6 linked regions of the Mus musculus genome follow. The protein of the gene in region 3 purifies or fractionates together with the protein of the main gene of each other region. This does not show direct contact. Links are inferred from orthologs where the notes say so. Each region holds a gene or a part of one and is shown on either strand. Other genes may lie near its edges.

What was found.
Region 1: the proteins of Exoc8 (region 3) and Exoc2 purify together in Homo sapiens (affinity purification with mass spectrometry; 7 studies listed by BioGRID and IntAct, counting the BioPlex papers as one, with this or other methods). This does not show direct contact. The link is inferred for Mus musculus from reciprocal best matches to the Homo sapiens genes EXOC8 and EXOC2.
Region 2: the proteins of Exoc8 (region 3) and Exoc6b purify together in Homo sapiens (affinity purification with mass spectrometry; 3 studies listed by BioGRID and IntAct, counting the BioPlex papers as one, with this or other methods). This does not show direct contact. The link is inferred for Mus musculus from reciprocal best matches to the Homo sapiens genes EXOC8 and EXOC6B.
Region 4: the proteins of Exoc8 (region 3) and Exoc7 purify together in Homo sapiens (affinity purification with mass spectrometry; 4 studies listed by BioGRID and IntAct, counting the BioPlex papers as one, with this or other methods). This does not show direct contact. The link is inferred for Mus musculus from reciprocal best matches to the Homo sapiens genes EXOC8 and EXOC7.
Region 5: the proteins of Exoc8 (region 3) and Exoc6 purify together in Homo sapiens (affinity purification with mass spectrometry; 4 studies listed by BioGRID and IntAct, counting the BioPlex papers as one, with this or other methods). This does not show direct contact. The link is inferred for Mus musculus from reciprocal best matches to the Homo sapiens genes EXOC8 and EXOC6.
Region 6: the proteins of Exoc8 (region 3) and Ralb purify together in Homo sapiens (affinity purification with western blotting; 6 studies listed by BioGRID and IntAct, counting the BioPlex papers as one, with this or other methods). This does not show direct contact. The link is inferred for Mus musculus from reciprocal best matches to the Homo sapiens genes EXOC8 and RALB.

Annotation. Positions count from the first base shown.
Region 1 is NC_000079.6:30,876,548-30,880,047, forward strand, and holds part of Exoc2 (exocyst complex component 2), read right to left. Parts: intron 1,067-3,500; coding exon 1,001-1,066; intron 854-1,000; coding exon 696-853; intron 306-695; coding exon 184-305; intron 1-183. UniProt on the Homo sapiens protein: Component of the exocyst complex involved in the docking of exocytic vesicles with fusion sites on the plasma membrane.
Region 2 is NC_000072.6:84,622,014-84,625,513, reverse strand, and holds part of Exoc6b (exocyst complex component 6B), read left to right. Parts: intron 1-276; coding exon 277-389; intron 390-3,500. UniProt on the Homo sapiens protein: Component of the exocyst complex involved in the docking of exocytic vesicles with fusion sites on the plasma membrane.
Region 3 is NC_000074.6:124,894,906-124,898,913, reverse strand, and holds the start of Exoc8 (exocyst complex component 8), read left to right. Parts: upstream 1-1,208; 5' UTR 1,209-1,287; coding exon 1,288-3,438; 3' UTR 3,439-4,008. Other genes in the region: Sprtn (sprT-like domain-containing protein Spartan), read right to left, coding at 533-756. UniProt on the Homo sapiens protein: Component of the exocyst complex involved in the docking of exocytic vesicles with fusion sites on the plasma membrane.
Region 4 is NC_000077.6:116,303,935-116,308,120, reverse strand, and holds the start of Exoc7 (exocyst complex component 7), read left to right. Parts: upstream 1-1,386; 5' UTR 1,387-1,447; coding exon 1,448-1,507; intron 1,508-1,667; coding exon 1,668-1,733; intron 1,734-3,072; coding exon 3,073-3,257; intron 3,258-3,438; coding exon 3,439-3,544; intron 3,545-4,186. UniProt on the Homo sapiens protein: Component of the exocyst complex involved in the docking of exocytic vesicles with fusion sites on the plasma membrane.
Region 5 is NC_000085.6:37,549,016-37,553,217, forward strand, and holds the start of Exoc6 (exocyst complex component 6), read left to right. Parts: upstream 1-1,402; 5' UTR 1,403-1,449; coding exon 1,450-1,550; intron 1,551-4,202. UniProt on the Homo sapiens protein: Component of the exocyst complex involved in the docking of exocytic vesicles with fusion sites on the plasma membrane.
Region 6 is NC_000067.6:119,473,783-119,477,282, reverse strand, and holds part of Ralb (ras-related protein Ral-B), read left to right. Parts: intron 1-1,210; coding exon 1,211-1,388; intron 1,389-3,500. UniProt on the Homo sapiens protein: Multifunctional GTPase involved in a variety of cellular processes including gene expression, cell migration, cell proliferation, oncogenic transformation and membrane trafficking.

The sequences.
Region 1 (3,500 bases), on a different chromosome or scaffold from region 3:
GCAATGCCTTAAATCTTAAATTGTTTTGAAAAGATACTTAAAAAAAAGAAAAAATTCTATTCTACAGCTATAAATGAATAAATAGGTGCAAATTTATCTAACACTATTTTTCTCTCATTTTCAAGGCTTTGGAAGCTGGAAAGAAGCCAGCTCAGGTAACTTTGTCCAGTAAAACTAAGATACCTTCGGCCGTATGCTGCAATGTCACCATTATGCAACGTATTCGGAGATCCAAAATTAGGTCCTGGATAATCTGTAACATGTCATTGGGAATCTCCAGGGCGGTCAGTGATTCATATGTTAGCCTGGCAAACAGATAAAACACAAGTGAGAAAAGGGGGATCCGAGCAGCCCTGCCTTGCCTGGACTGTCCTGTGTGTATGCCTCACGGAGCTCAGGAGTGACAGCATGAGCGCAGCAGGAACAGTACAGGGTCTCTGCAGCAGATGGGTGCACAGACAGTATGACACTCTCATCCAGCACATATACCAGACATGCTGAAGAACTGCTTGGCTAGATAAGTGAGAAATAGGAGCCTCAGGACAGAGAGGCAGAAGATAAATTCCTCAATGACATGTTAAGTAGCATATCTTACTCTGGGGTGTTGACTGTTTTAAAAACCACTACAGCAAACAAATGCATGTAAACCCACTGAGCCCTTTCCATGAGCATGGCTCCCACGTGCCCACACTTGCCTTATGGTCTGGATAACGTGTGCGAGCCACTGCCCCGAAAGCTCTGCCTGCACCTCCCAGCCGCCATACTGCCTCCCATCCCCTTCTCGGAGGCTGAGTGGAAGCAGGGCTCCCCGGATCAGCTTCACCAGGGAGTGCATTACTTCTTGAATCATTTTCTAGAAAATGAAAAGCAAAACTGCATTATGGTCATCAACCTGGTAGAGTTTGTTCTAAATGATAAGACAGTATCTTGACTGTAAAGTCTTCAATAACGCCAGGAGAGAGAGTGCTCTGAGAAGTCAGCATTCTCACCCTTCACTCACCTTGAAATCGTTTTGTCTCTGCCTCACATTCTTTGATCTTTCACTCTGGCCTGACTTCTCAGCCGTCTAAGAAATTGACAAAAAAAAATTAGCTATCTTTTAGAAATAACTTAGAAAAGTTAAGAAATGCTTTAGCATCCATACAGGAAGACATGAGACTTAACCTGATTAAATGAATGTTAAGACATAACCAGAAACAAAACCTTTCTTATTCCAAAACGAGTTAGCCTTCGTCTTTCTAAGCTCTGCTACAAATCGAGGCACACACTCAAGAACCAAGCTGAGACTACAAATTTCGTAGGTGAATTAGGTGTGCCATTTCCCATCAATGCTCAACTTGCAACTGAACCACATGGTGCGTCGTGCCCAGGACGGCACTCTTCCCATCACATCTCACTGTCTGGCAAAGCAACAAAGGGAGAGTAAACGCTGAGCTAATGGAGAGCACACAACATCTGTGCCAAAGGAAATTGGTAAATATTTATCAAAAACACAAGCACTACATCTGTCCCTTTATTTTTATTTATAAATCACTGTTTTCTTCGCAGTGTATCTTAGGAGTGAATACATTCTATCATTTTAGAATTATTTATTTCTATTTACTCATAAAGTCTATGTTTTTCTTTATTTAATGTAATGTACAGGAGACTGTTTTCATAGTTAAGAGGAATCTATTCAACTGGACTTCTGCTAGTTTCTTACTAACAAATGTTCTGACAACCAAATACTACTATATAAAAATGGCCTAAAAGGACAAGCTTATGACCTTTTCAGATAGAGAAGCAAAACAAAATTAAGTACTGTAGAACAAACTCTAATACTTCATTAACATAACACAAAATGTATCTGTTAAGTTTAAAGTTTTCAGGTACTGTTGACTAAGTGTAAAGACATGTCAAAGACCTTTCAAGTTAAGAGACGCATAAATAATTACAATATTCCCGTGAAGTCAATGTGAGAATATAAGTCATGCTTTCTATATGTGCATATATAGCACACATACTAGAGCTATGGAGCTGGGCATCATTGACATGAATGAGTACAAGAAGGGTTAGGCTACTCTGCTGATTAAGAACCAGTACCAAATATATACCTAGCACATACCCTTAACTTACATGACTTAAGATTTCATGTTAAGCTGTGAAGCTTTCATCATTCTTCTTTGTACAAATATACTTTTACTTTGAAACTTAAAAATATAAGTTAAAAGTTTATATCATAATCACTTAAAAAGCTAACTCCTGAGTTCACTGTCTTACATGAGAAGTAGTTTTATATACTATTATATAAGATACCAAAGTGTATTAAGTGTAGTAAGCAGGGAAATGGCACGATTAGCCTGAATGTTGTAAGGATGAAGGCTACGTGCCCAGGTGAGATGACCGCCAACAGCCAGGAAGGTACCACAGCACAGGGTTTCTCTCTCCCACCCAGACAAACCACAGAGCTCTACTGCTCTGCTTTCTGCTTTGTTTGGCTCACAGAGTGATACACAGTAGCCTTCTGAAAGCTACCAATTGTCTGATCTGAGTATGGGAAATATTTTTCTCTTCTATTACCTCCCACTAATTTTGCCTTTAGTTTCAAATACTATCTCCCTTACGGGGATTTGCAGTTCAAAACCTCTGAGACTTATACAGGGATCTTAGATTACCTATTATCTCCTAAGTATTCGTTCACAGGATCCTCTCATGCAGTACACTAAAAACCAGAAACCTGGCAGGTTTCCTTCAAGAAAGAAACTTTGTGGACAGCACCTGCTTAGCCAGAAGCCTGTTTCATTGCTATATCTGAACACTTGTCTTGATTTCTCCCTATGATTCACCAGCAAGACCTGCACACTACCTCTGAATACAAACTACACCCACTACTTTTTCCCCAACCCCACTGCCACCTCTCTCACTCCTATTCTGCCTGCACACACAGACCTATGCTTTCCTCCCAAGATTCTCTCCAAAAGGCAGCTGACCCACAGTGCCTCCAGCCTCAACCCAATCCACTGACACCCAAGCCCGCTAGGACCTGTGCATGCCAGGGCTCTCCTTGGAACCTCCCTTTGGAAACATGTGTGTTGTGTGAACTCCTTTGTCTACTTCTTGTATGCTAAGGCTCAGGTGAGAGATTATGTTCTGAGTCCCTTTTCCTCCCATCCCATCATTGATCACTTTCATTAGAAGCCTAGCTTTGTTCCTTTGATACACACTCACAGAATTAGGATGAGTTTTTAAAAATTGACTTTTATTTGATCACTTCAAGAGGGAAAGATAGTAAAGTTTATCTCAGTCATTGTTTTATTTACATGGTATCTGAGTATTTTAGGATGGATTTATGCATGTACACTATATGTGTGTATATGTATAGCATGTGCATATGTGTGTGTGTATGTGTCAGTACCTGGCACACTGTGGTTAGGATACTGTTCTGAACATGCTTTCAAAAGCAGCTCTACCTTCAATCTGTGCTGATCTAAATGCCTGCCAAAATCACCTAGATATCAAGT
Region 2 (3,500 bases), on a different chromosome or scaffold from region 3:
TTGAGATCAGTCCAGAATAGTGTCTCCACAGGCTGGCCCTTGAGGCTCACTGCTAGTGTGGAATCTCAGCAGTGGACTTGTGCTTATGGTGGAAATTACTCTATCATTGACATGTACTTCGTTGTAGTGTGGCCTTCAGCTATTCTTACCTTTGTTACATGTCCATTTCAGTATTTTAGGAGTTAGCTGGTAGTAAAGAATAATGAAATTACTGAGATCCTGATTTCCCTTGTCTGTTTGTTTAACCCTTGGTATGGGGATTGGGGTATTTTTCAGCTATTGGACCTCTTTATTCAGTGGGATTGGTCCACATACCTTGCCGACTATGGACAGCCCAACTGCAAGTATCTCCGGGTGAACCCTGTGACAGCTCTGACCCTGCTTGAGAAGTGAGTATCCAATCCTGTACTCTGTGTCGGAGGTGGGCAGTGGAGTAAGGGGTATTATACAAGACCATTTAACTGTTTCCAGTGCTGTCAGCCATCTTGACCATTGTACTTGGCAGTCAGTCATAATTCTTACTTAGCTCTAGCAAACTATATATACAGATCATAATGGAATTCTTTATTGCTTTGTAGCCTAAATAGACAAAGTGTCTTTACCTAAGGAAGACAAGATGTAAGATGACTTAGTTTGGGCTCCGGACAACATGATAAGCAGAGGAGTGTGTCCCAGCCTTTGGGGTTTAATGATATGTCGAACACATGCCTCAGAAATGTGGTTTAATTGAACTAGATTATGCAGCACCACACATCTTAAAGCTAGCCAACATGTCACCCAGGTGTCAGTATATACTGCAACCTGGCTCTAGTTGAGAAATACCAAGCCAGAAACTAAGACCCATGTTAAGAGGTTTTTAAAGCAAATTAGACTGACTAGTCAAAAGATACCTTTATCAAGGTGGTGAAGAAAGCTCATGTGTATGGGCAGCCAGGCATGCTCCAACCCTAGAAAGACAAAGGCTAGAGTACAGAAGGTCAGAATAGATCATTAGGGAGGGGGAAAAAAAGGAATGAAGGTGTAATATCTTTCTTACTAGGGGTGGGGGATTGGAGAGTGTACCAAATGTGAGGGGAAGCAAAGAGTAGGCAAGAGTAGGACGTTGGGCACTGTGTGTGAAGCCAAGCGATATGCTGAGAATTGATGTTTTCATGTTAACTTTCTCCCATGGTTCTCTCTCCCAACGATTTTCTTTTCTAGGCTATCTAGAGAGTAAGTATATTGTTCACTTAGGAATTTTTCATCAGTTTGAGGCAAGTCCTTCCCATTTCCCATCAGTGATGACAATAACTAAACTAAAATCCTGATCCTGTGAGTGGTCTCTACCCTGACAAACTAACCTCCTAAACTAGCCTGGTACCACCCAGTAAGCACTTCCCCTTTCTTTCTTTGTTCGTTACAGAGCTTTGGTTTACCAATTCATTTCAGGGTGGGAGTAATGGCAGGGGCTTTTCCATCAGCACTGGAGAAAGGATCTCTTCCATTCAGCTTTCTGGCGTGCTTGGTACTCTTATTGGCATAGAGTCTGCAGTTCAGCCCTGCCAGAAGAGCTGCTAAGTAAATCCCAGTTCCTGGGGACAAGGCTTATGACTTCAGGGTCTAGAACCTACATATCCCATGAGGAGTCCTCATCAGAGACAAACCATGTCCAGAGTTCTCATGACTCAGTAGAAATGGGGAGACAGTCCAGTGTTTGGCCTGATGCTCAGTCATGTCTCTTGGGATCCTGTACTCTTCCTTAGGTGATGTCTCGACATTCTCACCTAGCAGGCAACAAAGCTGTGTGCTAAGTCCTAGCCATCAGTGGACTTGAACTCTTTAGCTCCAAAATTGGAAGGCAAAGGCTCCCCAGGTCACTGAAATCTCCATCTTCCAGCCTCACATGAGCTCCGTCTCTCCTGACCTGGTTCTGCTTCCCCAGAGGCAGCTGCTCCCCATGCCTGCTAGTTTCTCTTTCTAAATCTGAATCTTCATAGTAAGGCAAGACAGAAGAACCCATAGCACTGCCAGTACTATCTAGGAAAAGGCAAAGTCCCTATGTCACTGAAAGGTGGACTGCCTAAAGGAGGAGAGAATGCTAGACTTTCAAGAGATAGGAAAGGGGAGGAGTCACTTTAAGTTTTGACCATTCCTGGATACAAACCATCATGCCACTGTCAGCCTTCATAGCACCTGAGAGCATGATTCCAACCAAAGGCTTCGGTGGCCAAGAACTATTTGCCTCTTGGTTTGTCTCTTTCTCCTGTAGAGTATAGGATCCTCCCCTGGAGCTACAGGCCATGTCTGGACACTCATTTCAGTGCTGCTGCAGGAAATTATAACATCAATCAAACCAAATGTCCTGCAAATGTAGAAAGGGCTTCTCTGTTTCCTCTTTCCTGTTGGTTTTTAAGTTGTTTGGATTTATAGCTTATCCAGCAAAAGGAAGAGGATTCCTTCAGAATAATCTAAAACCCTGCCAGTTTCACAAACATAATTGTGCAACTAGTGTTTAAAATAGCAGGCTGTACTCACCAGGGCCGTAAGGACCATTGTGCTCTCTTTCCAACCCAGTCAGGTCATCTGCCCTCCTTCCTAGCCTAGAGCAGGCTTCCAAGTATGGGCAGGAATTCAGTTCTGGATGGAAAACTCCAACCTGAAAGAATTACTCTTGAGTTTAGACTAGGGAGAAAAGTCACAGTTAGCTTTGGCTGTCACTGTCAGAGAGTGAGACAGCTGTGTTTCCTTGCCACTCAGATGCCCATATCAACTATATGTATCCCAGTGGATATATAAACATAGATGAACTCACACTGGGCCTAGTGTATAGCATGCAAGATGTAAATTGCATTTGTGGGATCCCTGTCTTTTGATTCATAGTCTCCAACTATACCCCTCTTCAAAAATCTGCCCACAAAGGAGAAGAAATGGCCCAGGATTGGCCAAAGACCTTTGGAAAGTATGCCCGGAAGTAAATTAGACCTCTGGCCTTTCTCCCTGTAGCCCTAAGAACAGGGAAGTCAAGGAGCCAGTTCAGTTCTAAGAACAAGGGTGTCAGCCAACTCACTTCACTCATGCAGATTAGGGTATATAGAGGCTAGACCAGAGTAAGTCATCAGCGATGGATTACAGGCCCTCTACAGAGAACAGCATAGTCAAAGGCTCTGTCACTGGTGCCTTGGCTGAACCTAGAGACTGCAGTAATATCAGTCTGGTCTTACTTTCTTTTACCCTCCATCCTGAGAGGGCCATCCACCTGACATAGCTATCTATCTTTATTATTTCTACTCCATGAGTGTCACCTGTAGAGCTTTAGCAGGACCATAACATAGATCTGAGATTGTATAGGACCATTGAGAGCTCAGGCTGTCTCTCACACAAAGTTGGCTTTGTTAACTGAGAGAGGCTGGCCATCCCTAGAGAACCTGCTTTCCTCAGCACTTTGCCCACCATTGTACCTGGCCATTGTACTGCTTTGCATCCATAGCCCTGAAACTAATCAGGAGACCAAAAATGAAGTG
Region 3 (4,008 bases):
ATGTTCCAGGACAGCCACAGATACATAGTGAGGCCCTCTCCCCTCTCCCCACAAAAAAGGGGGTGGGGGTGGGCAGCAAATCCCTAACAGTTCTTGGGCAAGAACTGTTTCACAAGAAAACGTCCCTGATGGGAGGATGGCTTTCCTGAGTGGGTCACTTGGCTTCAGAGAGTTAACACTTGCTAACCCTCACCCACTGTCACCCTCTCCCCTCCGCACAGGCATACATGGGCACTTCTCCCAAAACAGTCACAGGGCTGGTATGAGGTTAGAAGTACACTACGTCTTAGCCTGCTTTACCTCAAGCTGCTATGTGACAGTGTATGTGCGGGGCAGATTACTATCTCGAATAGGATTTCTCAAACTCTGATAAGGGATCCGGCTGGTTCATCACTGAGGGACGTTGGGCCCGGGACTGGGGAGTGGGCACGTTTCCCGGCGACCTCTCCCTGCGCCGCGAGGCGGGGACACCAACGACAATTTAGCGGCCTGGCCCTTCCCGACGTTCCGAGCCGTTCGCGGACGCACTCACAGGGTCATGCGCACACTCCACTTCACCTCCACCGCCTCCAGCTGACCCCAGAAGAAGCGATCGTTAAACTGCAGGAAGAGCGCCTGCAGGTCTGGGGTGGGGTCCACCAGCTCCCAGGACGCGTCCACCAACGACACGGGCTCCCGCGCCGCCGCCGCGCGCCGCGCCATCTGCACGTCCCACTCCTCCTGCAGCCGCAACGCGACCACCAGATCCTCGTCCATCCCGCTACTCCCACCTCGGCCGCTCCCAAGACGCCGGTCGGGCTCGTGCGGCGCACGGATCTCGCGAGGCCTCCCGGCCCTGCTGTCAGGGCGCGCGGGCTAGCCTCGAACGCCTAACCGAAGGTGGCTCGGCGCTGCCCCGCGGGCACAGGCTTAGGAACGCTGGGCTCGGGCTGGGGACGGCTTTAGGCAGCCGGTTGTCTCCTGACAGCCGCTGAGGTCCGGCGACACACGTCAAGTCTGGTCCGTGCCGGACCCTCCTCTGACTTCCGTGCTGGCTCGTCCGCGCACGCGCCTTAAGACGCTGCCGTTTCCGCGCAGGCGCATTGTCCGCACTCCGCCCCGGGCGCAGGCGCAGTGCGAGCGGCTCGACTCTGGCACAGGCGCAATGCAGCGCTCGGCTCCGGCGCAGGCGTTTGGGTGTTGCTCCCGCCCCGCTTCCTCCGCTGCCTTCTCCACCGGGCTCGGGTGGGGCCCGGAGGCGGCGAGTAACAGCCACTGCGGGCCGCGGGAGCAAGACGAGTGGCAGCCATGTCGGACAGCGGGGCGAGCCGCCTGCGGAGGCAGCTGGAGTCGGGGGGCTTCGAGGCGCGGCTGTACGTGAAGCAACTGTCGCAGCAGTCGGACGGCGACCGCGACCTGCAGGAGCACCGGCAGCGGGTGCAGGCGCTGGCAGAGGAGACGGCACAGAACCTGAAGCGCAACGTCTACCAGAACTACCGGCAGTTCATCGAGACGGCGCGGGAGATCTCCTACCTGGAGAGCGAAATGTACCAGCTGAGCCACCTGCTGACTGAGCAGAAGAGCAGCCTGGAGAGCATCCCGCTGGCACTGCTGCCCGCCGCCGCCGCGGGCGCCTCTGCGGGTGAGGACACGGCCGGCGCGGGGCCGCGGGAGCGCGGGGCGGTCCAGGCGGGCTTCCTGCCCGGGCCGGCGGGCGTCCCTCGAGAGGGTTCCGGGACGGGCGAGGAGGGCAAGCAGCGAACGCTCACCACGCTGCTGGAGAAGGTGGAGGGCTGCAGGGACCTGTTGGAGACGCCAGGTCAGTACCTGGTGTACAACGGGGACCTGGTGGAATACGATGCGGACCACATGGCCCAGCTGCAGCGCGTGCACGGCTTCCTCATGAACGACTGTCTGCTGGTGGCCACCTGGCTGCCACAACGGCGAGGCATGTACCGCTACAACGCACTCTACCCGCTGGACCGCCTGGCGGTGGTCAACGTCAAAGACAATCCGCCCATGAAAGACATGTTCAAGCTTCTCATGTTCCCCGAGAGCCGAATCTTCCAGGCGGAAAATGCCAAGATCAAGCGCGAGTGGCTGGAAGTGCTGGAGGAAACCAAGAGGGCCCTCAGCGACAAGAGGAGGCGGGAGCAGGAGGAGGCAGCAGCCCCGCGTGCGCCACCACCGGTCACTTCCAAGGGCAGCAACCCGTTTGAGGACGAGGATGATGAAGAACTGGCCACCCCTGAGGCGGAGGAGGAAAAGGTTGACCTTTCCATGGAGTGGATCCAAGAGCTGCCGGAAGACTTGGATGTTTGTATTGCACAGAGGGACTTTGAGGGTGCCGTGGACTTGCTGGACAAATTAAATCACTACCTGGAAGATAAGCCCAGCCCACCTCCTGTGAAAGAGCTGAGGGCCAAAGTGGACGAACGAGTGCGACAGCTCACCGAGGTGCTTGTGTTTGAGCTCTCCCCGGATCGCTCTCTGAGAGGCGGCCCCAAGGCTACTCGGAGAGCCGTGTCTCAGCTGATCCGGCTGGGCCAGTGCACGAAGGCTTGCGAGCTGTTTCTGAGGAACAGGGCCGCAGCCGTGCACACTGCCATCCGCCAGCTCAGGATTGAGGGCGCCACGCTGCTCTACATTCACAAGCTGTGCCACGTCTTCTTTACCAGCCTCCTAGAGACCGCGAGAGAGTTTGAGACGGACTTTGCAGGCACTGACAGTGGCTGCTACTCTGCCTTTGTGGTCTGGGCAAGGTCGGCCATGGGCATGTTCGTGGATGCTTTCAGCAAGCAGGTTTTTGACAGCAAGGAGAGCCTGTCCACCGCTGCTGAGTGTGTGAAGGTGGCCAAGGAGCACTGCCAGCAGCTGGGAGAGATTGGGCTGGACCTCACCTTCATCATCCACGCCCTGCTGGTGAAGGACATCCAGGGCGCCCTGCACAGTTACAAGGAGATTATCATTGAAGCCACCAAGCACCGAAACTCGGAGGAGATGTGGCGCCGCATGAACCTGATGACTCCTGAGGCCCTGGGCAAGCTCAAGGAGGAGATGAAAAGTTGCGGGGTCAGTAACTTTGAGCAGTACACGGGAGATGACTGCTGGGTGAACTTGAGCTACACGGTGGTAGCCTTCACCAAGCAGACTATGGGCTTCCTGGAGGAGGCATTGAAACTGTACTTCCCTGAGCTCCACATGGTGCTCCTGGAGAGCCTGGTAGAAATCATCCTGGTGGCTGTGCAGCATGTGGACTACAGCCTGCGCTGTGAGCAGGACCCCGAGAAGAAGGCCTTCATCAGGCAGAACGCATCCTTTCTCTATGAAACTGTCCTCCCGGTGGTGGAGAGGAGGTTTGAGGAAGGTGTGGGGAAGCCCGCCAAGCAGCTGCAGGACCTCCGGAACGCATCCCGGCTCCTGCGGGTGAATCCCGAGAGCACGACTTCTGTGGTCTGAGGCTCTGCTCTGTGTCTTTGTGTGTGTACGTGTACACGTGCTACAGATGCGTCATTTGTATTTACATTACACAATGTCAGCACATTCCTCAGAGACACAGACAGCATATAAAAGTGCCCTCTGAAAAATGCAGTCAAAAGGAGAAAGATAATGTGTTAAGCATCACATACAACCCCCCAATACTGGGACTGTCAAGAGCACATACCATGTCTTGCTCTGTTTTTTAATAATTCTTTAAGTAGAGTGTATGGTCACACCAGAACATTTCAGGCTACTCTTTAACTTGAAAGACACTTCTCACGTTAGCACATCTAGGAGCAGTGCACTTCCATGCTGCCTAGAAAAATATTAGGTCCACAGGGTTTAAGTATGTTGTAAAACATTCCAAGTCAACAAAATGGCTTCGTAATGGTCAGTGCTGTGTGACACACCTGTGTCCTGTACTGAGACAGATCAACATGAAAAGAAATGAGTTGGGAAAACTGGTTTGGGATAAATTTCAATATGTGGGCCTCAGGTCTGTCAGTATTTGTAGCATGTGGAAGGAAGCCTTTATAAAACTTTGCAGGC
Region 4 (4,186 bases), on a different chromosome or scaffold from region 3:
CAAAGCCAAAAGACAACACAGAAATATGGACCGGGCGTTGTCCTGCTGCTGATTGGCTCAGACTAGGTGTTGTCCTGCTGCTGATTGGCTCAGACTAGGCGTTGTCCGTTGCTGATTGGCTCAGATTGGATGAGTAAGGCGTGTGGCCTTTGAGGACTAGAGTTGACTGTTGGAGTCGGGGCAGGAGGAGAGAGAGACAGAAGCAGAACTGAGCAGGACAGGGAGGTTGAGCAGAGAGAACGCCAGGGACTCGTAGCAGGGAAGTCGCGTTGAGTCTGGAGGGTTAGCTGAGGGACTGCCCCAGCAAACAGGCAAACAGCCTTATACTATACAGATGTCTCTGTGTCTCTGTTATTAAACCCACGTGGGATCCCACAAGTTCTGAAGTATCCATTGTAAGCCACTCTGTGTGGAATCCAGTCTCCAGACTTGAACCGTTAAGATATGATCTGCAAAAACAAATTTGTCTCCTCAGTCAGCGCTTTTATCCTAAATTAGGGTTTAGCTAACTGGAAAGATGGCTCAGCAGTTAAGAGCTCTTTCTTACTCTTCCAGGAAGCCTGAGTTAGGGTTAGGGTTCCCAGAACCCACATGACAGACAGCTCACTACTGTAATGTCAGCTCCAGAGGGATCAGATAACCTTCTGGTCTTCCAGGGCACCTGGCATGCAAGTGACGGCACAGACATACATACCCATGGGCGAAACATCTATCTATACACCATGTTAAAATCCACAAATAAATCATGAGCTGGTGAAATAGCTCAGCAGGTTAAGGCATTTGCCACAAAACCTGGCACCCGAATTCAATCCCTCTGGGTCCTACACATGGGAGGGAGAGAACTGTAAACCCTATATACCACTCCGTGCCAGCCTCCACCTCCTGCCTTCCGCCACCGCCCTGCTTTTTCTTGGGTGAGCTGGGTTTGGCAGAGCACACCTTTCTTTAATCCAGCCCACGGTAGGCAGAAGTCAGCCTGGTCTACATAACCTATTCCAGAGCAGCCAAAACGATCTAAAAAAAATTCAGGTATAATGTTGGTTTGCTTGATTTTTGGTTTGGAGACCAAGTCTGACTCTGTAGCCTAGGCTAGCCTGGAATTTACTATGTGATCCAAACTGGCTTCGAACTCGTGAATGGCCTCCTGCTTCAGTCTCCCAGCAAGGGGCTGTCTTTCAAAGGAGCGAGCAAACCAGCCTCTGGCTACGAGGAAAGACCCACGTATGCCTCAGGTGAGCGGCTCTTCCAGCCACATTCAAGATGGCGTCGACCCGCAGCCCGCTCGCGAGCTCCGGCAGGAACACACTTCCGCCTGCCACTCCCAACATGGCGCCCCCGAAAGCGTCCGGGGGCGGGGCCGAGGGAGGAAGTGGGCGTGACAGGGACGGAAGCCGAGCAGGGTTTGGAGCTAAAACAGCGGGGAGTGGGGACAGCGCTGTCCGCTGCTATGATTCCCCCGCAGGAGGCTTCCGCCCGGCGGCGGGAGATCGAGGACAAACTGAAGCAGGTGACGCTGGGGAGAAAGTGAAGGAAAGGCGCTCAGGGGCATCGAACCGGGGTGGAAGGGGAGATAGGGTTAGGCGTAGGCCGTGGTGCTGGGTGCTGGGTGCTGGTGGTCGCCTTTCACCATCGGCTTGTGGTGATGTCCTCCTCTCTGCCCCTCGCAGGAGGAGGAGACGCTGTCGTTTATCCGAGACAGCCTGGAGAAGAGCGACCAGCTCACTAGGAACATGGTGAGTAGCCTTTCAGCTGGGAGGCTGCCGCCAGGCTCCTGAGCCCCAGAGGAGGGGCGTGTGATGGACGTGTCCTGCGCCTGTCCAGGGACTCCAGCGTGGGTAGTAAACAGTGGGCATATCTTGCAGCGATGGGTATCTCTGCACCCCAGTTTCCACCCCATCACCGAGGAAACCGCTGCCCTATACCTGTTACTGTCTGTCCTTCTGCAAACATTTCGTGATATCCTGTACATGGCCTGGTACTGGCCCCGTGTCATTGTCAAATTCAAGCGAGGCGAGGCAGCGAAGTCACAGGGGCTTTGGAAGCAAAACCATCTCAGAGAGTTAATGCGTCTTAGATCTACCCAATGTCCTACAGCTTACTATGTGGTTCCTGGTGGTAGGCCTTGAGTTATGGTTAATTTACCTGGTAAAGCAGACAATGTCAGCCTCCCAGTGTGTCCGTGGAGGAAGTCTATGCATGCTTCCCAGTGTCTGGTATACAGTAAGATGCTTTAAAAGTGCTTGCATTTGTATTTACACAGTAATAAAATACTTGTTGAATGAGATTTGCCCTTAGGGAAAGAGGTTGGCTGTTTGTTTGAGGTAACAGTAATATATTTGCAACTATTTTGGAGGAAGCTACTTTCTGTTCAGTCTAGGAAAACTTCAGAGAGAACAGAAATTGAGATTTGACTTTCAAGGGTAGAAAGGAATCTATCCTGAGGTGATTGAAAAAAAAAATTTATTATGTATAGTGTTCTGGTTGTATGTATGGCCATATGCCAGAAGAGGGCACTAGATCTCATTATAGATGGTTGTGGTTGAGCCGCTATGTGGTGCTGGGAATTGAACTCAGGACTTCCGAAGAGCAGCCAGTGTTCTTAACTGCTGAGCTGGCTCTCCAGCCTGATTATCTCTTTTTGCAAATAAGCAAATTTATTTTATGTGCATGAGTGTTTGCATGTGTGTATGTGTCCCACAAATGAGCAGTGCCTGCAGAGGTCAGAAGAGGCTGTCATATCCTGTGGAATTGGAGTTACAGGCAGTCAGTTGTAAGCTGGCAGATGTGCGTGCTGAGAACTCAGTACCAGTCCTCTGCAAGAGCAGAGTCATCTCTCCAGCTCCTTGAAGGAAGAATTCGCTTAATGTTCCTCTTGCCGTCAGATGAACTTTCAACCAGTTTATGGTGAGCCGTGTACCAGACTAGGAGTGCAGTTGTAGCAAACAAGTCGACTATGTTCCTTCCTATGGGTAGCAGTGTATCGTCTAGAAAACCAAGAAAAGACAAGAAATGTCTGTGAGTATTTCCAGGACAGCCCTGGGAGCCATGAGCCAGAGGAGTTCCCCCCCACAGGTGTCCATCCTGTCGTCCTTTGAGAGCCGACTCATGAAGCTGGAGAACTCTATCATCCCTGTGCACAAGCAGACAGAGAACCTACAGAGGCTGCAGGAGAACGTGGAGAAGACGTTATCCTGCCTGGACCACGTTATCAGCTACTACCACGTAGCCAGCGACACGGAGAAGATCATCCGAGAGGGGTGAGTTCCATGCAGAGCTCTGCTCACATAACTAATGTCTCCTGGACCCATGGAGCCAAGTAAAACCCATGTGAGCGTGGAGCCCCTTATCTGCGTTCTCTTCTTCTCCCGCAGACCGTGGCCATAGTCTGTCTATGTTATCCCTGCCCTCCAAGGCTAAGCCAGCTTTTCTCTTTCCCAGCCCCACAGGTAGGCTGGAAGAGTACCTGGGAAGTATGGCCAAAATCCAGAAGGCTGTGGAGTATTTTCAGGACAATAGCCCAGACAGCCCAGAACTCAACAAAGTGGTAAGAAACGTATAGGTTAGCGTGAGACGACGGACAGATGGACATCAGTCCCTGTCTCGGTCTCATGAGGGACATGTGACAGTTTAAGGAAGTCTGTAGAAGCCAGGTGTGGTGGCCCAGGCCTAGAACTTGTGAGTTTGAAGCCAGCCTGGGATATGTGGTATTCCAGACTAGCCTGGGTTATGTAGTGACACCATGTCTCAAATGTTAAGCAAACGGATAAAAGAGGAAGATACATAGCAGTCACAATGTACGTGTTAGGTCCTGTGCCTGGGGACTGAGTGATATAATTTTCCATCATACTATTTCAAGTGTAAGTTTAGCATTTGATTTCTATATATGGATTGGAGGTTTCTTCACTATGGTAAAAAATACGTCCTGTACCTAGCTAGGCATGGGGACTCACGCCTGTAATTCTAGGACTTAGGAGGTGAGGCAGGAGGATTGCAGCAAGTCCAGATTGGCCTACATAGTGAGTTCCAGGATGGCCAGAGCTACATAGCAAAACCTGTCTCAAAGCTGTAAAGCAAAACAAACACATAAATTGTATAAAATCAACCATCTCAGCCAGGCGTGATGGCAGGCAAGACCTGCACTCTTGATACTTGAGAGGCAGAGGCAGGAGGATGGCTGCAAATGCGA
Region 5 (4,202 bases), on a different chromosome or scaffold from region 3:
GTCATAGGCAAAGACTATGATAGCATTTGGAATCTGGCAAAGAAAAGGAACAAATTCTTTCCTAGAGTCTGGAAAAAAATGCAGTTGTGTCGCCATGTTGACTATAGCCCAGTGAGCATTCTAACAGATTACACTTGAGTCATTTTATGCTCTGGCATTTGTTACAGAAATAATGGAAGTTAATATAATATAGGATGTAGTACAAGGTAGATACCACAGTTATTAGCAGCTGCGGCTGGGGACACTGAGATAGAAAAGTATTAAGTTTTGCCTAGTGTCACATGACTGAGTGGGGTTTGGGACAGTTGTCTTCAGAGGACATGTTCTTAATTGTTTCTCAATATCATCTCCCAGGATTTCTTATGGGGAGGAAGAGGAGGAGGAAGAGGGAGAAAAGGAGAAGGAGGAAAAGGAGGAAGAAGAGGGAAAAAGCTGGTAGTAGAGGCCCAGGGAAGAGAGTGAGTCTGACAGCTGGCTCGTGCAAAGCCTGCCTGACTCACAGGGAAGCTCAGAGCTCCTGAACTTAGGGAGAGCAGAAAATTAGTTGTCCCTCTGGCTAGGTTTGAACTCTTTTCTGACTAATCTTCCATCAGTGCTTTGATCATGACAAGCTGGTTTACACGGTGTCCTAGATACAGGTTGTTAAGCAAGCCTCTTTTTCTACATGTGTCCCTTTGCTCAAGCCACCTGCCATTTCCTTCTACCACTTTATTGCTCATTCTTTCCCCCTAGAAGTCTATTCCCACCCCAGCCCAGCTACCACTCCCTGGGAGCGCTTGGATTCAAGAGCTTCAGCATGAAATCCAACATTGCCCTGGGCCTCTTTTCTACGTTGCCAGCAAGCGCCTTAGTCTTGTTCTCATTTTCCCTCATTTTGATAGTTTATGTCCAATATGACTAACCTCGGTGAACTTGCATCCGGCAGGGGACACGATTTTTTCAGAGCAGTCGAGGTATAGAATTTTTGTTTGTTCTTAAAATAAATCTCAACGACACACTCAGTTTTGATTTTCGGGAAAGCATTTGCTTTTCTCTGACTCCCCACTATTTAAAGCCCATCAGGTGCTCAGTAGCTTCTATCACTATTACTGAGGGCGTGTGACCGAGGGTCACCTCCGTTATTGCTAGGGTACCTGCAGTGCACAACAGCACACACTGCACTAAAACATCTCTAGATAACTAAGGGCAGGTCGCGAGGAAAGATGGAGGTGGTGGTTCCCCTCCCCTCCCGGCCACCCCCCCCCCCCGCCCCGATCCCCACCCTCTCCAGGTCATCCTTACCTCCCCAGGGGCGGGCTCCACCCGGGCGGGCCCCACCCACTGCGCCCCACCCCTCCAGGCCCCGCCCCTCCCCGCCCCGCAGCGCCGCGCCGCGCTTGCGCCACCTGCCGCTCGCTCCTGTGGTCCGCGCGCCGCCGCGCCCGGCCGGCGCCTCCGCTTCCAGCCAAGATGGCGGAGAGCTGCGAGGCTCTGGGCACGGTCCCGGAGCACGAGCGGATCTTGCAGGAGATCGAAAGCACCGACACCGCCTGCGTAGGGCCCACCCTCCGGTAAAGTTCTCACATGCCCCGGCTTTCGGGCTGCCCTGACCAGGGACTCCTTAGGAGCCGGGCGGGGCGTCCGCTGCCGGGTGCGCGCGCGTCGGCCCGACAGGTGGTGCGCGCGGGGGCGGGCGCTCGTGGGCTGCGGGACCCGGAGGGCCCGGGCACCTGTCACCGCGCCGCCTGTGGGTGTGGCTGCCAGGGTGTCTCTGACCCGGAGAGCCGCCCCAGCCTAGGGCCTTGATGCCCCAAGGCCCTGACCCCTAGGCGGAGGCTGTCTGCTCTGTGCTGGGGACGAAGGTCACCTGCAGGTGGCCGGCGTGACTGATCCCGGTGCCAAGTTGCGCGCTGATGGAAACCCCAGCGCACTGACTGCTCTGGGCGTGGGAGAATTGAAATTGAGCGGGAGACGCCAGCACCTTTCTCCCACGCTGCAGCACCCTTCTCCCCGGGCGAGACGCGAGCGTGGGCTGACAGCTCGAGTTCACGCAGGGGTGACGATGCTCTTGGGACAGGAAGCTTTTACTTATTGACAAACGTTATGTTGATTTTGTATTAAAATTTCAGCGTATTTTAAATGGATCCAAACCCACTCTCTTTAGGAATAGTACCAGTTAATGAATAGTCCATACCGGACGGAATACTTTCTGCCCCCATAGACTGGTACTGGTACAGAGCTATTAGCCATTAACACTAGGTTAGACACTTCAAGGATTACAATTTCATCTTTTGCAATTAGGATGAATGAACTTGTGGTTCATTAAGGGAATTTGAGACGGATTGTGCTTTGTCAGTAGTCTTTCTTCAGGACACACTTCCTGGAAATGGAATTCTGTTTTCTCACTGTAAATGTAGATAAAATGAAGTCAGTTCAACTTGTAAATTCACTTTGCCCCAGGGAGCCAGATCATGTGGTGTGTTTCTTGTTTCTTTCTCATAAACCTGTCACTGATGACTGAAAAAATCATTTAACCCCCTTGGCCTTGTTTTTGTATTTGTAGAACGGGGTGGGGTTGGGGTGGGGGTGGGGGTGGGAAGTTGTTTAGAACATGAGAGATCTTGCCCATTTATTCTCTACCTCCAAGCACTTAATAGGCAGGTTATGTTTTTTTATTACAGAAAGTTCCTGCTATGATATGCAAAGGCCTCATTAGTATCTTTTAATTTTCTTTTTCTTTCCTTTGTTTTTGTTTGCTAGACAGGGTTTCTCTGTGTAGCCCTGGCTATTCTGGAACTCACTTTGTAGACCAGGCTGTCCTCAAATTCAGAGGTTTACCTGCCTCTGCCTCCCATGTGCTGGGATTAAAGGTGTGCATCACCAATGCCCAGCTCCTTATTGTTAATTTTCTTACATGAATTTTACATATACAGTAGTTTAAAATAGGAGTCAGACTCAAAGAAAACTTTGTGACATCTAGATTCCACTGAAGGACCTCTCCAGTCTCATAGGACAGCCATTCCTTAATGTGTTCATGAAGCAGTTCATTTGCCAGGGGTCAGGAAATGCACTTTTGTCTTTGGTAGCTACCCAGCCAGTGTGGACTAGAAAATGAATCCTCATTGGTATGTTACCCCTGGTTTTCAGGAGGCTGGAAATCAAGTCCCTTTGTTGGACCCTAGGAATGATACACATCAGGACTGGCCATCACCCAGTAGGAGTGGCTTATAATAGAGGTCAGCAGTTTAACGTATTTTGAGACTATTTCACTATATTGCCTTGGCTGTCCTGGAACACACCATGTAGATGAGGCTGGCTTTGAACTCACCAAGATCTACCTGCCTCTGCCACAGCTTGTTGAGATTGCTACCATTCTGGTCAAGTTTTAAATTATATATTGTCTGGGTGAGGTATCCAAACATCCTGACGCCCACTAGAGAATAATCTAGTAGCTGTGCAGGTGCATAGCACATAGGGTATTGGATATCAACCTTACTTTAGATTCTTGGGCTTGTGTAAGATCTAGATTATAGGCAGAGTTGCGATTCTTGCTGTGAATCCTGCCTTACCTCAGCAATGTGGGCGCACCTCACCTAGCGAACTGAGCAGGGTCTAACAATGAAAGAACAGAGAAAAGGGGCCTGTGTGTGTGTGTCTGTGTGTGTGTGTGTGTGTACACGCACTCTCTCTCAAAATTGTTTTTATTTTATTTTATCTTATGTGTATGAGTATTTTTTTCCTGCATGTGTGTCTGCACTGTTCGTGAACCTGGTGCTGAGGATGTCAGATCTCCAGGAGCGGGTGTTACGGACTGGACTCCATGTTGCAAGGCACCACGTGGGTACTGGGAACTGAACCTGGGTCTTCTAGAAGAGCAGCCAGTGCTCTTCACCGCTGAGCTCCCTCTCCAGCCCCTGAGTTCTCTCTTCGTGTGCTGGAACATGGATCTCCTCCTGCCTTTGGAGACTGGGACTTCTGGAACCCTTCTGTGGGACGCTGAGACTTCTGTGGGAGTCCCTGTGGGTCCCTGGATTTCTGATTTCCACAGACTTGTGTTCCTGGTTCTGATTCTCTAGCTTGCACAGAGTCTGTCATGGCAGCTCTTCCCTTCCAGAACAAACAACTTAATTCTACACATTCTTTTAATTTCATTCCGTCTTCTCTCCCTCCTTCCTTCCCCCTCCCTCCCTTCTTCTCCCCTTCCTTTTCTCTCTTCTTTCTTT
Region 6 (3,500 bases), on a different chromosome or scaffold from region 3:
AGGCTTGTGTGGTACACGGCAGCTGGGGTGCAAAAGAGGGAGTCTAGAGTCCCAGTGTCCCTTCCCAGGGCACACCCCAGAGACCTATCTTCTTCCCACCAGGCCCTGCCTCCTAAAGGTCTCTAAAGAGCTGAAGGTTCTGGCTTGCTTTCTGCAGCTGCGGTGTGTGTATGGAGGAGACGCACAGCAGAGAACTCAGCGTGAGCTCTTGCGGCTGCAGATTTTTTTTGAGCATTCAGGAAGTTTCTATGTGGGTAACACTTTTGTGATCACAACTGTGTTTCCTCTTCATAATCTGATTTTGAGGCCATCCCGGAGATAAAACAGGATGTCTGTACACACTGCTTTCTTCTCTCCCTTGTGCCTGTATTGGAATTACTAAGCATTTTTGTGAGCTGTTGCTTTGGGTTTGATTGGATTTTTTTGTTTTGTTTGTTGTTTTAAGTAGTGTCTCATGAAGCCTTAAACTTACTATGTAGCTAAGATGACCATGAACTTCTGGTCTTCCTGTCTCCTGGGTTTACAGGCGTGTAGCACCATGCCTGCCTGTAGAGTGCTGAGAAGGAACCAGGGGTGGGGGGTGGGGAGGGGCTCTGTGTATACAGTGGGAGCACCCTGCCATCTGGGCCATGTCCCCGAGATTCACAGAGGGTTTCTTCCTGACTTCCCTCTCCCTTTCTCTTTGACCCCATAAATTGGGGGACTCCGTTGAGATGCAGACTCCTGACTTCCTATGCAGACATCTCTTTTGTAGGAGTATGGGGCAGAGAAATCCGTACCTGGGAGAGACCAGATGATCATAATGGACGAAAGCTAAGGGCCAGCCTGGAAAAGCCCCTGCTAGTAGACACCCATTTTGAAATCTCCCGATGGAATGATTTCTCTTGTTCTTTACCGAGGGCTTTAGATGCTCTGTAAACCCCGAGGCACCTGGCAGCTACTTGTAAAGCTGACTTCATATGCCAGCTTTTAAACAAAACAAAGCAACTTTATTTATTTGTGCGCTGTGCGTGCACCGGCATACATACCATAGTTCACGTGGAGGAAGGAGGACAACCTGCAGGAACCAGTTATCACCACTCACAGTGTAGATCAAACCCAGGTCCTCAGACTGCCTTGGAGGCAAGCACTCAGCCGCTGAGCCGTCCTGGTGCCTCTCCCGCCAGTTTTGGCTTTCTTAACCACACTGTTCTTGCCGCACCGTCCCTAGGGAACAGATTCTCCGAGTCAAGTCAGAGGAGGACAAGATCCCACTGCTGGTCGTGGGCAACAAGTCCGACCTGGAGGAGCGGAGGCAGGTGCCTGTGGACGAGGCCCGAGGCAAAGCGGAGGAGTGGGGTGTGCAGTACGTGGAGACATCTGCAAAGACCCGCGCCAATGTGGACAAGGTAGGACGAGTTCTGGAGGCTTCTCAGAATCTGGCTTTTGCTGTCTCAAGACACAGCCATCTCGTTTGCTTGGCTTTTAATTTTATTTCAACTCTGTGTGTGTGTGTGTGTCTATCTATGTAGGGGTATGTGAATGTAGGTGCTTATAGAAGTAAGAAAAATCCCCTGGAATTGAAGTTGCAGGTAGCTGTGAACTGTCTGATGTGGGTACCGGGAACTGAATTCAGGCTCTCTGCATGAGTGGCACTCTCTCCTGACCACTCAGCCACTGTGGCTGCTGCCTCTGCTACCACTGCCCCCTTCTTCTTCCTCCTCTTCTCCTCCTTTTCCTCCTTTCTTCCTCCTCTTCTTCCTCCTTCTCTTTCTTTTTTCTCCTCTTCCTTCTCCTCCTCCTCTTTCTCCTCCACCTTTTTTCTTTTGACAGGGTCTCGTACCACCCGCAGTCTGACCTCAAGCTTGGTTATGTAGGCAGTGTCACACCTGCAGTCTGACCTCAAGCTTGGTTATGTAGGCAGTGTCACACCCGCAGTCTGACCTCAAGCTTGGTTATGTTGGCAGTGTCACACCCGCAGTCTGACCTCAAGCTTGGTTATGTAGGCAGTGATGACTTTCTAGTCCTTCTGCCTCCATCTCCCAAGTGCTAGCATTCAAGCTTTGTGCCATCACAGTTGACTTGTCATTTTTCTGTTTTCCTTTTTCTTTTTTCATCCTTTTTTTTTTTGTTTTGTTTGAAAGTCTCACACAGGCTAGCCTAGAGCTCCGTAAGTAGCTGAAGAGACCCTTGAACTTGTGATCTTCCAGCCTCCAGCCCTCTACCTTCCAGCACTGGAATGACAGGCGGGCATCATAGCACCCGGTTTATGCAGTGCTGGGAATGGAACCCAGGGCTCTACACAATCACATGACCGCCCTGTGGTTTTTCTTTTACATCAGAGTTCAGAGTGTTAGCACACAGTTGAAGTAGGTGCCTTACAGCTGAACTTCACGCCGTTTTCCCATGCTGTGCTGTGGGCTCTTACTTCACATCCTGGGCTTGTGAAATCAGTGCAGAGCCAGGGCAGGCAGAACAGAAGGGCTATGTCTGCACCCAGTTATGCTCGGCCACAGATCTGTCTACCTCTTCTTGTTCTCAGTTCACACTGTAGCCCAGGCTAGCGCTGTGGGATGTCACTCCCTCTCTTTGTACCCTACCAAGGAGAGCTGTTTGACTAGCTGGTTCTAGAAGAGGGCTGAGTACTCTCAAGGGACATTCGGAGGACCTGGCTTTAAGAGCTTGGTGCTCTCTGTAGCCTGGGGCACAGTGAGTTGTGTTCCATCGTCAGCTAGATTTTGGTTATCATGTGGGCCCCAGGGAATTGAGTTCACGTTGCCAGGTTCTTATCCTCCACCGCACCATGTCCCTGGTTCTGTCTGTCTGCCTGTCTTCTGTCTATGTGTGTATGTGTGTGTCTATCTATCTATCTATCTATCTATCTAGACAGGGTCTCATATGCTCTAGACTGACCTGTAGATCTCGTGTGTGTGTAAGGAGTGCTAGAAACACAGGTGTGGACCGTTGCACCTGGTTTGTGGGTGTCAGGGTGGACCCCAGTGCTTGGCAAGCCCTCTCCCAGCTGCCGTATCCCAGCATCTTTGTTTTCTTTACATTGTTATCTGAACTCTCACGTTGCTTCTTATGATGCTCAGACTTCTGTTCCTAGCTGAGGGAAATACAGAGGGCATCCAGGTATAGCCTTAGTCTTCTCTGGAGAGGAGGAGGGTGCATGTTTGAGACAAGGTGTAGTGCTAGTTGTCCTCTGCCTCCCACACCCGGACTAAGGCTTTATGTTTTAAAACCAAGAAGGCTGTCTGGTCATGGTAGCACATGCCTTTGATCCCGCTACTCAGAAGGCAGGAGCTGGCAGATCTCTGTGAGTTCAAGGCCAGCATAGTCTACTTAAGGAGACCTTGTCTAAACAACAACAATGAAACAAAACACAGACTTTTTCAGTATGAAAATGCTGACGTTTTTGAGAAGGCTGGAGTCAGTGCTCTGGGATCTCATTCTGGGGCGGGGTGCACAACATCATGTCCCCCTCCTCTCCCTGGACAACCTTTGACCTGCAGGAAAAA